Lepisosteus oculatus: one gene and its partner. The protein of the gene in region 2 interacts with the protein of the main gene of each other region in a pairwise test. Links are inferred from orthologs where the notes say so. Each region holds a gene or a part of one and is shown on either strand. Other genes may lie near its edges.

Evidence for each region. The genes of interacting proteins can lie anywhere in the genome.
Region 1: the proteins of sf1 (region 2) and rbm17 interact in binary tests that used the Homo sapiens proteins (3 or more experiments, as listed by UniProt). The link is inferred for Lepisosteus oculatus from reciprocal best matches to the Homo sapiens genes SF1 and RBM17.

What each region holds. Positions count from the first base shown.
Region 1 is NC_090702.1:43,508,983-43,516,873, forward strand, and holds the start of rbm17 (splicing factor 45), read right to left. Parts: upstream 3,749-7,891; 5' UTR 3,648-3,748; intron 1,256-3,647; 5' UTR 1,235-1,255; coding exon 1,112-1,234; intron 818-1,111; coding exon 701-817; intron 1-700. UniProt on the Homo sapiens protein: Splice factor that binds to the single-stranded 3'AG at the exon/intron border and promotes its utilization in the second catalytic step. Involved in the regulation of alternative splicing and the utilization of cryptic splice sites.
Region 2 is NC_090713.1:21,525,970-21,533,873, reverse strand, and holds the start of sf1 (splicing factor 1), read right to left. Parts: upstream 3,407-7,904; 5' UTR 3,363-3,406; coding exon 3,286-3,362; exon of another isoform or gene 3,129-3,285; intron 1,246-3,128; coding exon 812-1,245; intron 1-811. UniProt on the Homo sapiens protein: Necessary for the ATP-dependent first step of spliceosome assembly. Binds to the intron branch point sequence (BPS) 5'-UACUAAC-3' of the pre-mRNA. May act as transcription repressor.

The DNA of each region.
Region 1 (7,891 bases), on a different chromosome or scaffold from region 2:
GAAAGATAGGTTAGGGTCATAACGACTTTTCAAAGTACTGTGGGCAAACACAGCGTGCAGATTCAAGAACCGTCTCCGTTGATAGTAGCACTGATACAAGTACTGAAAGGCAACCCAGTGGACAACTTCAAAACAGGCACCAGAAAACAAAAGTAGGAACTATGCAGGAAGTGATTTAAAACTGAGAACAGAAGGCAAAGGGTGTGGGAGTCTGAACATATGATGCCCAAGTTTCTTTCTAGAAAAGGCTGGATGAGATCACTGGATTAATAAACTATTAACTACCAAATGGACCAGATTGGCTTGAATGGCCTCCTCTCATTTATAACTGTTCCAATGCCTCTTTCACTTAATTCACAAACACATAAAATAGTCCTCAGGCACATGTGAAGTCAAGCCCTGCCTCTTGCAATATTTATATTTGACTTTATAGAATTTTAATTAAAGCAGTAACTACTTTAATAAAGGGTGAAAACTTGAAAATGACATTTGACAAATCAATGTAGGTTAGCCCTTGCAGGTTTTATTTGTCTAAGGCCATTCTTTACTACCTACTTAAAATGTAAAAAGTTACCATGATGGAGAGTTGCCCATACAAACCACAATACTCAATCACTCATAGGTCAAGCTCTCAATTCTGTTTTAAAAACAAATGCAGAATAAAATGTAAAAAAGCCAGATTAACCCAAAACGTTCATACTTTCAGGCCAGCTGCCACATGGGGAGGTGTATCAGAGATCTGTCTGTCATCACTGGTGCTGCCCCTCTTCAGATCGATCACCGGGGCTAAAACTGTAGTCTGCTTTGTACGCTGGCTCTGAAAGGAGGAAAAGTGTTAAATCTATTTAAACATCATATTTTACCAAAAACACACCTCAGACTACATTAAAAATATTTTCAGCTTTGAAAAGAAAAACTTCCTGTGCATTCTACTGTTATTTCCTTCGTGCCCTGCTCCAACCAAAGGTCCTAATTAAAAAATCTTGATGAAATTTAAAAGAAATATTTCTGAATAAATAAATCAATCAATCTGACCTATGCATCATCTACATCATGTTCATATCGTTATCATATTAACTGATCTAACCAATGAAACGGTACTCTCCCATACCTTGGCCTGTGTCAGCGCTGCTTTCTTCACCTGAAGCTGAGACTGAAGCAGCTTGAAGTTCTTGGACCAGCCTTCCGTTTTCGTGTCGCTGGTCTCAACTCCCAGGTCATCATAGAGGGACATGTTCCTTTAGTTCCGGAATACCTTGGAGACAAAATTGGATCTTTTGATAAAACAGACCAACGGCACTTTGAAAGAAAGATTGAGAATACTAATTCACAAAGCCTGCACAAAAAATGCAACAGCCTGTAATACTACATCGCTGCGACATGGCTGGCAGCAGTCAACATAGACAGTCATGTGAAAAGGAAAGGACACCCTCTTTCAATTCTGAAATGGTTTTATATATCAGGACATAACAAAAAATCAACTGGTCCTTACCAGGTCCTACAGTTAGGTAAATCTAACCTCAGGTGATAAACAACACAGCTCAGATTCCACTATGTCATTATTTAATTTAACAAAAAATAAGCTAACATGCAGAAGCCATGCGTGAAAAACTAAGTCCACCCCATGATTCAGTAGCTTACAGAAGCAGAAGTAATCGTTTCCTGTATGAGTTTATCGGTCTCTTATAAATATTCCTCCAGTCGCTTGTTTTGGAGGAATTTTGGCACACTGTTCTTTACAACATTGCTTCAGTTCACTGATGTTTGAGGGCATCTGTTTATGCACAGCTCTCTTCAGGTCTCACAGACAGCATCTCAATGGGGTTGAGGTCTGGACTTTGACTTGGCCATTCCAACACCTTGATTCTTTTCTTTTTCAGCCATTCAGTTGTCGATTTGCTGGTGTGCTTGAGATCGTTGTCCTGTTTCATGACCCAATTTCGGCCAAGCTTTAGCTGTCGGGCAGACGGTCTCACATTTGTCTCTAGAATACTTTGGTTTGTGGTCAACTCAATGACTGCAAGGTGCCCAAGTCCTATAGCTGCAAAACAAGCCCAAATCATCACCCCTCCACTACCGTGCTTGGCGGTTGGTATGAGGTGTTTGTGGTGATACACTGTGTTTGGTTTTTCGCCAAACATGGCGTTGTGCATAATGACCAAACATCTCCACTTTGGTCTCGCCTGTCAAAAGCACACTTTTCCAGAAATCTTCTTGTTTGTTCAGATGCAACTTTGCAAACCTAAGCCGTGCTGCCATGTTCTCTTTGGAGAGAAGGGACTTTCTCCTGGCTACCCTTCCATGAAAGCCATACTTGTTCAGTCTTTTTCTGATCGTACCGTCATGAACTTTAACATTTAACATGTTAACCGGGACTGTAGATCCCTAGAGGTAGCTCTTGGGCTCTTTACGATTTCGCTGAGCATTATACGGTCTGACCTTGGTATGAATTTGCTGGGACGCCCACTCCTGGGAAGATTGGCAACTGTCTTGAATGTTCTCCATTTGTAAATAATCCTTCTCGCTGTAGAATGATGGATTTCAGATTATTTGGAAATGGCCTCATAACCCTTCCCAGATTGATGAGCAGCAACAACTGCTTTTCTGAGTTCATTGCTGATGTCTTTTCTCCTTTGCATGGTGTTAACACACCTGAATGCTCAAGATCACCAAACTGCCAAAACTTCTGCTTTTATAGAGGTGGTCATGCTTCCTGTTGATCAACTAATCAAGTGCATTTGATAAGCATTACCTGGCTGCTAATTACCTTCTTAATTCCTATGGAAGCAGTAAGGGTGTACTTAATTTTTCCCACATGGTTTCTGCATTTTGGCTTACTTTTTGTTGAACAAACAATGACATAATGAAATCTGTAATGTGTTGTGTTATCTGAGGCTAGGTTTGTCTAAATACAGAAATTGGTGAGGACCAGACGATTGTTATTTATGCCCTGATACGTAAAACCATTTAATTGACAGATAGTGTACTTTCTTTTTTACATGACTGTAGTACTTAGGGGCTGTTTCACAACACTTGCTAATCATGGTTGAACTACCCAAAACTCGAGCTATGAATAGAACTTATGTTAAAAAAGTTATTAATATTTCACCTTACATATCATATAAATACTGCGAGTTTTTTAGAATAACTGCAATTTTGACTTCCAGTCCGTAGACAGAGATTAACTATTACATTGTACGTCTTTATTAAATGTTCACATAAAGGAAGCAAAGACAAGTAAAAACGTTCCCCAGGACTTTTTTATACGCCATGACTAACAGCTTTAAGAAATACACACGTTCTTGTAAACTCACAAGATTAAGTTCAACTAAACGTGGCGCGCCATCACCATTCATGCTTATCATAACAAAAGCACAACATATTGAAATCCTACAAACAATAACCGCCTTCTTACGACTGATACAAAAGAGCGCAATATAGTAGCTTTCAGAAACAAAACGTCAGGTTTCGCAGAAGAACATATTTATTTCTCCTAATAAAAGGACTTGAAACGGTGTACTCCATTTACTGACCCGCACATCACAACCATATCTGGGCCACAGGTACGGTTAAAACCCAGAGTTAAGAATCCACACCGTTTAATTCAAATATTTTAGCTATTAGGTTATATTTAAAACAATACCTACCAGACTTTATACAAACGCAATCAAACAACGTTCAAAAACGAAGATATTTACGACATCGCTGGAAAAAGAAAGCGGAGTTACATGAAGACCCCCTGTTAAAATCTCTGCTGCCACCACCCAGTGGAGGACTGAAACTACACGTGAATATCAGAACCTCGGGAACGTTTTATTCTGACACTAGATGTCGCTTTACGCAAGGGAAAAACAAATATCGCTAACCGAGACGGAAGGTCAGAGAGAAAAAATGCACTCAACATTTCTGATCAGATGGACTTCAGATATAACAGTTTCATGCCAAAATACTACTTAAATCTACAGGTCGGTTTATTTAGTATATCTATACTAATATATACTATCTGGTATTTATACTATATAATACAAATAATTCTTTACACTTCACTTTTCTGGACATTCCACTCACGTTACACATTATGGGGACTCCCCTCCACCACCACCAGCGTGCAGCCCCACCTGGATGATGTGCCAGTACTCTCACCACACATCAGCTGTCAGTGAGGAGGAGAACAGAGTGATGAAGCCAATTCATAGATGGGGATTATTAGGAGGCCATGATTGGTAAAGATCAGGGGGAAATTTGGTCAGGACGCCAGGGTTACACACCTACTCTTAATGACCACAAGGAGTCATATTTTACATCTCATCAGAAGGACTGCACCTTTTTACAGTATAGCATCCCCATTACTATATTGGGGCATTAGGACCCACACAGACCACGGAGCACACTCTGCTGGTCCCATTAACACTTCTTGCAGCAGCAACTTAACCTTTTCCCAGGAGGTCTCCCATCCAGATACTCACCAGAGTGACACCTGCTTTGCGTCAATGGGTTGTCAGTAGTAAGTTGCAGGGTGATATGGCTGCTGGCATATACTGAACCTCTATTTGTTATGTTATTGTGGACTAAACATGATAGAAATTTTAAACAAATTAGGGCTTTATTGAGTACAGAGGGAATAGGGAGAAGCCAAATGTGTTTCACAAAATTCAAATAACTATTTCCCAAGCTTTTTATAGCAATATACATATTTTAGAACCCACAAGTTAAAAAGGAGGGCAAATGTTTAAACATAGCTGACCTCTCATCTGGCAGCTTCCAAAAAGTGACTTAGCAGTTTCTGATATCCATCCTTTAAGTTCTTCATCCAATTAAGAATCACTTGGGAGCCAGAGCCTATCCCAGCAAGCAACAGGCACAAGGTGGGATACACTCTGAATAAGACACCTGTCCATCTCAGGGCAGACACACACACTCACACTAGGGCCAATTTTCCCAGAAGCCAATTAACCTACCAGTATGTCTTTGGACAGTGGGAGGACACCAGACCAGCTGAAGGAACCCCACGAGAATATCCGCAGAATATAAAAGCTCCCTGAAGATAACACCCTAGGAATTGAACCCATGTTGAGTTCCAACATGAAGCTACAGGTGATGGCAGCTTGCATCAGGGGGTGATTGCATTCAGGGGGTGATTGTTTTAATTATGGTCACTTTGGAGCAGTAGATACAAATGAATGAAAGGCACAGAAGGTCTCATATTGGAGAATTTAACTATTCTTCAATGATCGAAGCCAGGCCAGGTTTAAGTTGATTGATTAGTTTAATTGGGTAATTAGTCCTATCTTTTGTAACACTTGTGTGAGCCTAGAGAAGGAGCTTAGGGTTTTAAAAGAAAGTTCCTCTTTCTTTTTGAGAGGAAGGAAGAAATCAGAAGGAGAAGTCAACTAGTCAGAGAAACTTGGAAGACTGCCTGAGCCACAGCTACATCCGCCCATTAACAAAACAAAAAGCAGTATTCCAGTTTGTGTCATAGCAGGAAAACCTTGCCTGTCCTCTATTACATCTTTTACATCTATTACACTTTTCAAATTAGAAGACCTTATTCAGATCTTTGTGAAGATAGTGTCTTTTTACATGACCAACACAAAAGAAGTAAGGACACTTCACAAAGCAGGAGGGAATCTTTGAGGCTTGGAAGGGGACTGAGGTACCACCATTAAGGACCCAGGATTCACGGCCCCTTCCAGGATAGTCTAAGTATAATTGTGTTTATTTTGCTGCGAAGGAATTCATCCTGCCAAAACTTATAAACTTAGAGATACTGCTTACCTTGAAATCCTTATTAGCTGTAAACTGATTTGGGAAGTAGTTATCAAGTCAGATCGTTACAACTTTCCCACTTATTTGTGGCCCATATACCACCAGATGAATGCTTGTTGTAAAATCTGATAGGGTTGGGCAATGACTCAGTCTGTGAGTGAATGCCCAGATGATAAATAAAATGTCTAATTTTATCGTCTCTCCTCCTGCCTTCTCTACCTCTGTGACCAGCATGCCCCCCCACTGTAAATATTAGGGCAATAAACCTTCTCCACATCACAGGACTACAGCCTCATACTCTCTTCACTTCAACCGTCTGATGCAAAAATGCAGATATTTGAATTTGATTCTAGAAATTAATTGATTTTTTAAAAAAAGGTTGAAAACCACTGCTCTGGTAGCATTAATACTGGTAATTAATTTCTTTGTCTCTTTATATTTATATACTGAATAGGCATGTTGGTTGCATCTGTTAATGCCTTTCTCTTAATATTTTCTAAAATATATTATGGTATATTTAGGACATCCTAAATGTGTTGCACTCAGAATTGCTGACATGCTTAGACAATTTAGGTTTAACAGAGTTTAAACAACTATAGAGTTTTAAAATATTTAATAAGGTATACCTATAAGGTAGGATTTGAAAAGGTTTAAAATAAGATACATATAACTTCTTAGTGTAATTCAAACAGAGATTGCAGGTGTAATGAAACGCCCCTGTATATAACAGGGATCTCAGCTGCCCGGGCTGGGGGAGTTCTCCTTTAGCTCAGCTGGCAAGTTCCCTGTTCCGTGACGGTGGAGACCCAGGTTCGTGCCCAGGCAGTGAGGGACGAACTGGCAGGGCAGGAGTGGCAAGGGCGGAAACCCCAGGCAAAGTTTCCAGGAAAAAGTTAAATCACAGAAGTCTGGCTTCGTGATGCATTAGTTACTGTAGACTGTTTTGTGTTTCTTAAGTAAACAAGGATCTTCAGCATCATAAGAACATGAGTACGGCTACAGCCAAGGGGAAGCCATTTGGTCCATGTAGCCCATTCAGTTGTTGTAGCTAACTGTAATCTGATTCAAGGATGTCAGGAAAGAAGCCAGGTTATCGTTTTTGACAACAGCACTGGGCAGACTTACTCTAGACACCCTCCACCCTTTGCTAAATAAGTGTCTCCTGTTCTTGGTTTCAAATGCAATTTTACAAACATTGTGTTTCACTATTTATACTAAAAAATAGTCCACTAAGTTGACTTTGTTGATGCCTTGGAGGATTTTGGATACATGGATCTCATCAATGTACTGTATCTCTTATGCTCTGGACAGGTTCCAGAGCAGCAATATCTATATCTTATAACCTGGTGCCAAAGAGTGTACGTACTATTCTAAATGAGGATTTACTAGAGCTGTGGAAATATTATCCCTCTATTTAAATTTTGCACTTATAACTACAGTATATTGCCTAACATTTTGTTTTTATTGGTGCCCAGCATTGGATGATATAAATGTTCGTTAGCGTGAGCGCCTCGGTCTTTTAAAAGTAGCCTCTACTTGCTCAGTTTCCCATTTTGTATTTATGCTTTGCTTTTACTTCCTGCACAAAAACCACAAACATGTCTAAATTAAATATAATCTACCAGATGTTTGCCCAGTCTTGAACGTTCTCTGAATTCTTTTTTATTTGTTTTGCTTCTAGAGTGATTACTATTCCTCCTGTTTAGGTATCATCTGCAAACTTGACTAGTTATAACTAACTCTCACTAAACCAGAATCTACATCATTCACATACAGTACATTAGCAAGAGCAGATCTCTATCTTACTCTTCCTACTATATCACCCCAGTCTGAACAGTTACCCTTTATCTGTACTCTACCTCCTTCTCCTTATTCAGTTCTCACACTAGATTACTGCATTTCCTTGAATGCCTACCACCAACAGTTTGAGAATTAATCTTTCTTGGAACTTCATCAAATCTGAAAATCTAAAAACACAATATTGTATGCTCTATGTGTATGTTGCTGTTATTCCATGTTCTACGAGCTCTACCACGTTTGTTACAATATCTTATATTGTTATAATACTTATAATACAGTATCTACCCAGACCTTCAATTTGATTGGTCTGTGGCAGCCTTGATTC
Region 2 (7,904 bases):
AGTCTTCACACCTAGGGCTCCCCACCCCGCGGCTGACATCCAAACCCACACAAGACCCGCAGGGGAAAAAAGCCATTTCAAACAAAAAACAAACGATTTCCTTGAACTTCCCTTTCACTGAAAGGAAACCCTTAACAGCCAACGGCAATGCCCCGGAATACCACACTCATCGCCCTGGACGCTATTTGTTCTTCCGGAATTTCGGAACGCGCGGCCCACAGGTGGTGCAGTGGCGTGTGTCTCGCGGGCCGTACGGTGCGAGTAAGCATCCCGATCTCCTCGACCGCTCCCTCCCGGCCCCGTCCGATCCCGGGGGCGGACAGAAACCGCCGAGGGCTGGGAGCGCGACGGGAGAAAACCTGGGGAGGTTTTGCTGCAGCCACACCTCCACCCCCCGTCCCTGGGAAGGTACGCCCCACCCCCCCCCCCCCCGTCCCCAGGATGGTAGGCCCCACTCCCCCCCCCCCCCCCGTCCCTGGGAAGGTACGCCCCACTCCTCCCCCCCTGTCCCCAGGATGGTAGGCCCCACTCCCCCCCCCCCCCCCCCGGGAAGGTACGGCCCACTCCTACACCCACTCCCTCACCAGTCCCTGGGATGGTACACACCAGACCTTCACCCCCCCCCCAATCATATCCGTCACTGGGATGGTACGCTCCACACCTCCACCCCCCCCCCCCCCCAACCCGTCTGTGGGATGGTACACCCCACCCCTACCCACCCTCAGACCACAAACATAGGAAGGCCAGGAGACCCCGACTACAACCCAGCACTACGGGGCAGCTGGCCCCCAATCCGCCCGCGGCTCGTCACCTTGGAAGGCCGTGTTGTCCAGCCCGTTGATGGCCTCCATGGCGTCCTCGGCCCGCTCCATGTGCACGAAGGCGTAGTCCTTGACGATGTCGCACTCCACCACGGGGCCGTACTCCTCGAACTTGGCCCGCAGCTCCTGGTTGGTGCAGCTGCTGCTGATGTTGCCCACGTGCAGCTTGGTGGAGGCCTTGGCCTTGCCCCGGCTGATCTCCACGTTCATGGGCTGCCCGTTGAGCTCGTAGTGGTGCAGGTTGCGGATGGCCTCGTCGGCCTCCGCCTTGGTCTCCATGTGCACGAAGCCGTAGTTCTTCACGATGTCGCACTCCGAGATCTTGCCGTACTGGGAGAAGAGGGCGCGCAGCTCCTCGGCCGTGGTGTCGGGCGACAGGTTGCCCACGAAGATCTTCACCATGGTGAGTCTTTCCTCTGGCGCTCTGCGGGAAGGGAAGCAGGGGGGTGGGGGAGAGGTTAGGGACCAACGCAGGGATCTGAAGCCCCGCTGCAAAACAGCAGACAGCATAAACTGCAGGGGACTCCTGGCCTCTGAAGAGCGCCTTTCAACCCTAACTGCTTTACATACAGACGCCCAGTGCTCATTCTTCACCAGTAGCCCCCAGCTGGGAGGCGCGCAGTGATCCTTCTGCACCAGCAGCCCCCTAGCTGGGAGACGCATAGTGGTCATTCTGCACCAGCAGCCCCCACCTGGGAGACACACAGTGATCATTCTGCACTGGCAGCCCCCACCTGGGAGACACAGCAGATCATGGGGAGGGGAGAGAAACTGCTTCGCCTGTTGAATGTATCGGGACTGAACTGCACAGGCCCAGAGCGGAGTTCAGCCAGGACACTGGAATAAACACCCTACTGTTACCAACAGTCCTGAGATTTTTAATACCCCAGTGGTCCAAACCTTCACGTCTCGCCTGAAGAGTGGCACCTACTACGGCACACTGTCCCCTCGCCATACGGGAGGGGGTAATTACTGGGAAATTCTGGTTCAGCAGGGAAAACGGCTCCTACTGGTCCACCAACACTATACACACCACAGCGCAGGAGGGTGAGGACTATCTGGACACAAGTCATACGCATTGCTATCAAAACACAACAACTCGCGCATACACACAGAAACACAAAGACGTGAACTGAACACATTCAAACGTTAAAACCACCAGCAAAACACAATCCAGGGGAGACAAATGACTTTAAAAAAAAAAAACCCAGGCCGATGCTTTTATCCAAATCACCACACACGTGTTCCCATGTATGGGAGCTGGGGTTTTTCCTGGAGAGTTTTCCCCGAGTGTGGCACCTTGCTCAAGGGTACGACAGCAGGGTCTCGCCTGGTATTTGAACCCACACCCTTCCAGTTACGAGCCCGGACGCTCAGGTCCCTGCTCCCCCAAGCACGTTACACAAAGGGCGGTGGGGGGGTGGAACAGGCCTACCCAGCCACACTATTCGGAGCCGACAGCCGGGCTGCTTAAAAAAAAAAGCGCATGGGTGAGACCGGCCATTTCGCCCGGCTCCTTTGTCACGATACTGAGCGATCCAACGGATATAAGCCCCCCCCCCCCCGCCCCCCAAAAAAAACTACCCCCCACCCAACATCGTGCAAGCTTTGTGCAACACAGCCGGCCTGACCTATTTCTGTGGGCGCAAATCTACCGGGAACAGACTTCCAACAGCAGGAAAAGTAGCAGCGCGCCGGCGAAAAGTTGCGTGTGCCGCGCATCTTCCCAGAACAAGAAAATACCCTTTTTGGATTCCGTGCAAGTATTATTTCTGCTTTAAATCGCCCATCAGGAGCGACGATGAGTGACCCATTAACCAAGCGCGCCCAGACCCAGGTACAGCGGCCGTAGCCCCCTCTAAGCCGGCTGGACTCCGGTGCACCGGGGTGGACGGTGAAGCTCCGGGTCCAGAACAATGCAGCAGCAGCAGCAGAGGCACACGGGCCTCATGGCGAGGGGCAGGTCCCCCAGGCAGCGAGAAACAAGCCTACCGCCCCCCGATTCACTCACACACAACTGAACACCTAAGTACGATAACGCACGTCCGCCATAAAAAATATAATAATCGTGGAATATTGTCTGCGTGCAATGCCCAGGGAGAGACTGGCTCCCTCCCGCCAGGGAACTCGGACGACCTTAACGCGGTGCGCCCGCCATCTCCTACCTGCCGGGGGAAGCGCTTTTAAAAACCCCCAAAAAGCGGCCGAGGACACACAGTATGCTAACGTTTTAAGCGCAGAAAACAATAAACCGGCGGTTCAGCCCGTCTCACCCTCCCTCCTCCTCCTCCTCCTCCGCTCACTTACAAAAACAAAACCGTTTTCTTTCCCGGCGCGGCTCCAAGACGACTCCGGCGATCGCGGGGGGCTCTATCGCAACCAAATCCCGACTTTCCGTTTTATGCCTGTTTTTTTTAAGACGAGGCCTCAATGACTGAATTTTTGTTTAAAAAAAGAAAGCTACCTTAAGTTTTGCGCACACACACACACAAAAAATGGCCTCTCCCGCTCAGCTCGGTCTGTTATAAGCAAAGCCAACATCCGCCACGGCGCAGCAGTAGCGGCGGCGGCAGCAGCAGCAGCAAATGGCGTCGCTTCCGCGCACGTACGCCGCACGTAGCCCGTGCGTCGCTTGACGCCGCGTCGTGCGCCGGAAGTGGGGAAAGCGGGGGGCGGGAAAGCGGTCTTCGAGCTCTTCAAAATGGCGGACTGTGCGGTGGAAGTTCTTTCTTTTTTTTAAAAGCGTCGCCACAATAACAAAAACAAGAAACAAAATGCATACAGTATACACAAGCATACATATACCAGAATCAGGGGGGGCATACCACGATTGCTCTTTACGAAACAAGATGAAACAAAGTCAATAAAGATAAAATACGCACATACGGTTTCATGTCCTTACATTTAGAAATTATATCTGAAGGTATGCCCTCTTAGGAAAGGTATGTCTCTTTTGAAATGTTCAAAGGTGGGTCTCTTCTCAGACCATTTCATTTCATGTATAGATTAACGGGCAGTAAGCACTGTGCAAGTGAGATCGAGTTAAATCACAAGGGATTTCCCATATACAGTATATATATTTGAATCCCATTGTAAAGAAAAACAAAAATATTATTTGTTATTGACATAATCATTTTACTTGCTTGTTATTATATACATTTTATTTCTGATGTTTAAATAAAAACTGTACAAATGTAATGTTTACAAAAAAATACATCAAATGAAATGGTCTGGGAAGAGATCCATATTTGAACAATTTAAAACAGACATCAGAGTATATCTCCAGACCAGTTCTACACGTACGTACATGAAAGAATTGACGTTAACTAGTTTAGTATTTTTTTCTAAATTGAAACTTATCATGTACCTTTGATTATGTTAGTAGTTAAGATGGGGAGCTGCGTCAGCAGGCATAGGCCGCAAAGGAACAAGTAATAGGTTTATTCCAGGCTGAAAAGAGAAGAAAAAGAACACGTTTCGGCCGTGGAGCCTTCTTCAGGTGTGTACAGCAGTGATTATGTTGTATGTACGGCTGTGTATTCAATTTTTTGTGGTTGCAATAAAAAAATTAATAAAAGGATATCCCTAAAAGCAAATCACAGAGAATCCCTTGTCACACAATTGAAAGCATTGTGGGAGTCCATTTAAAACAGAACAGGAAGGACTTCTTTACACCAAGGGTGGTGGGAGTGAGGAGCAAGCTGCCCAGTCACGTTGCTGAAGCCGACACCCTGGAGATTTCTCAAGAGACGACTTGATAAGATCCTGGGATCAGGACGGGCGGGGACACAAAGGGTGGTAGGAGTGTGGAACAAACCGCTCAGCCAAGGTGGTGAAATCGACACCCTGGCTTCTTACCAGAAACGACTGGAGTGATCGGTCAGCTATCTTAAATCAAATGACCTCAAACAGGGGCCGAAAGCCCCCCGGGTTTACTCGTATTGGTCCAGATAAGTACGGTGAACAAGTTCTCATTTCCAGTGACGATCCAGAGTCAGTTCGCACAGTACGACCGCCCTTAAATGCACAGCAGCAGTGTCTGACCTGAGATTTCAACCACTTTCCTACGGTCTTGAGCACCGATCTCTCCTAGAGCCCGTTAGGTTCCTCGATAGGTATATCCTGATTGCTGCAGATAGAAGTATGAATAAGTGTAATATGTGTTTTCTGTTGTTTGCCTTGCTTCTATCCACGGGGGGGCAGATCAAAGCTGTTGGCATGGCAATAAAGAGTTGCATTGACAATTTAAATTTAAATTTAAATTTTACCACATTGCGGCTGGACCACCAACACGGTCTCCGGCGACGTCTCTTTTCCTTGGCCTTCCTGTAGAGCTATAATGTTTAGTGTTTACAATTGTGAATTCCTCTGGCCTGCGAAGTGTCTATTTCTGTATCTATTTCAATATTCCGTCTCCTTTTTTTTCTTTTGTATTTCGGGTTAAATAAAAAACTTATTTTTTAAAAAAAGAGATTCGAGAGGTAACGTCTACGCAGTGTGACGCGACCCGTGTTACAATTTGCATTAAAAGTCAATCGCACACAGAAACGCAACAGGGGTATAAATAGGGATAAGATTAAGGACTGGGACAGTGGCCTTTTTTTTATCTTTAATCTCCTGCCATCTGGACCGGGAATCAAGCGATCAATCAAAGCCGTTGAGTACGCCTTTTTAAATTTTAATACTGCCAATACTGCGTTGTACTTCAAACACGGCCCTGTAGCGGGATTGAGCGGTAACGCGCGTTACCATGACAGTGAACTCGACGTAACGTCGCTGTCCAGCGAAAAGATTTTTTACTTTGGGGGTTAAAATACCCCCCCAAACGGTTTAGAAAACCCGGAGAGAGACACCTTCTGAGCACATCAACTTGTAATTTCACCGTTTCCTCCCCGTGTAGCCTGAAGTGACATTCCGCGACCGGTTCTTTCAGTGATGAGCCGTGTGGTTTTTTTACGGGCTGTGAACGGACATGTAATGTCAAGGTGAAAGACCGTGCTCAGGCCCCAGTCCGCGTCCTCAACGGCTACTGCTAACAACAAGGCCTCAGACTCAATACCCAATGTTGTTGTTGTTGTTTGTTTTCTCACTACTACATATTTGTTGTCCACAACTTATTTATTGTTGTTGTTATTATTATTTTATTATGTCTGTAATACACTGTGTAATGTAGGGGGGTGTTGTGTGCTGTACTGTGTATTCCCCCAGAACAGAACACGACAATGAGACACAATGGGGATCCCCTCCACCCCCAGCAGTGTGTACCCCCACCTGGATGAGGCGCCAGTCCGCTCCCCACACCCCAGCTCTCAGTGGGGAGGAGAGCAGAGTGATGGAGCCAGTTCAGAGAGGGGGGTTATTAGGAGGCCATGATGGGTAAAGACCAGGGGGGAAATTTGGCCAGGACACCGGGGTAACACCCCTACTCTTCTCGAGAAACACCCTGGGGTTTTTAATGACCACAGAGAGTCAGGACCTCGGTTTTACATCTCATCTGAAGGACGGCGCCTGTTTACAGTCTAGTGTCCCCGTCACTACACTGGGGCATTAGGACCCACATGAGCCACAGGGTGAGCGCCCCCTGCTGGCCCCACTAACACCTCTTCCAGCAGCAGCCTCAGCTCTCCCAGGAGTCTCCCCTCCAGGTACTGGCCAGGCTCCCACTGCTGGGCTCCAGTGGGGCTGCCAGTTGTGAGTTGCAGAGTGACATGGCTCCTGGCCGGCTGCATGTACTCATGCCAATAAACTCCTCTCCTCTTGAACCTGACGAGGGTCCGAGAACACAGGTCCAGAGAGAAGAATAAATGGGGAGGGGAAAAAAAAGATTCTTTCTAATCTAAAAATATAAAAATAGCCTCACAGTTCCCCTTTAAGCCAGTAATGAACTATCCAGTTCGTTATGAGCTGAGTTAGAATGCAACCCCGCACTGCCCTTCCTTGGTCTGGGCACTGCTTGGCTCCACAGCGCCACCCAAAGGAGGGTGAATGCACTGCAAGATCCACCAGAGTCTGATCTCCCCTAAAAAAGCATTACTGCCCTCCCCTTAAATACAAATTAATCTTGGCAGTCAGAATTTTTAACCAAATGCTTTGTCTCCTCTGTGACGACTTAATTATCGCCAGGCCAATGATCCTCCAGGCCAAAAAAGCAAATATTAGTTATACGACATACAAGAAATCAGTGTAGCTGGTGAGATACATCATTCTGGTTAGGCCTGGGTGTGTGGTCAGACAGTACAAGAGGATATACGCACTATCTACCCACTGTTTCACTTTGGAACGATTTCTTCGCCAACCTCAGTCTGTTCATGACCCGTAATGTTGTCAAAACATAACTTTAGAAATCTGCTAATAAAAAGATGATCGTCGCCCTAAGGAGCAAGGTTAATCTTGCCCACAGCTCTGCTGTAGGATACTGTCGTTCTTGTAAAACATTAAAACCACAAACATGGCAGTTTGCTTGCTCAGCTTTATACTGCACCACAGACAGAAGACAAAACGTCTCAATACCGGATTAGTCTCTGTTAGCTAAACTTATCCGCACAAGCTGCTCAGACTTCCCGATTGACAGCAACATCCACAAGAGAATCTGCGAATAGTACCAAAATATTTTTTTCACACATTTGAAAGTAAACAAGTCAGAAGAACAGAGTGCCGTCACACTTTTTCTCTCTCCGGACATGATGTTCTGCTTGGGGGAAATGAGGAAGTGGGGCTGCTGGTCAAGTGGCGCAAACACACCCTGTAACGGGAAATGAAACCTGCGATGGGCTACCCTTCTCTTCTTCGCGTTTGTAGAAAGGAGGGGACTGTGTTCATCTAAGGGGGTCACAGCCATAGGTGACCCCCACTCAAGACAAGCATATTCTGCAGAAACCTCCCAGGGTTCCCATTCTAGAGACGGGGAGATATTTTAGGGTAACAATGGTCACTTTTCCTGGCTCTCCCTGAATTTCAGTTCCAATGCACATCCTGAACGGGATTCATGATCTTAAAAGAGGCGTCTGCCTCACAAGAAAAGAAAGCCTCATTACTTGAAGTAGCAGAGGCCAATATCATAATCCTGATCCATTTTTTTGTGTT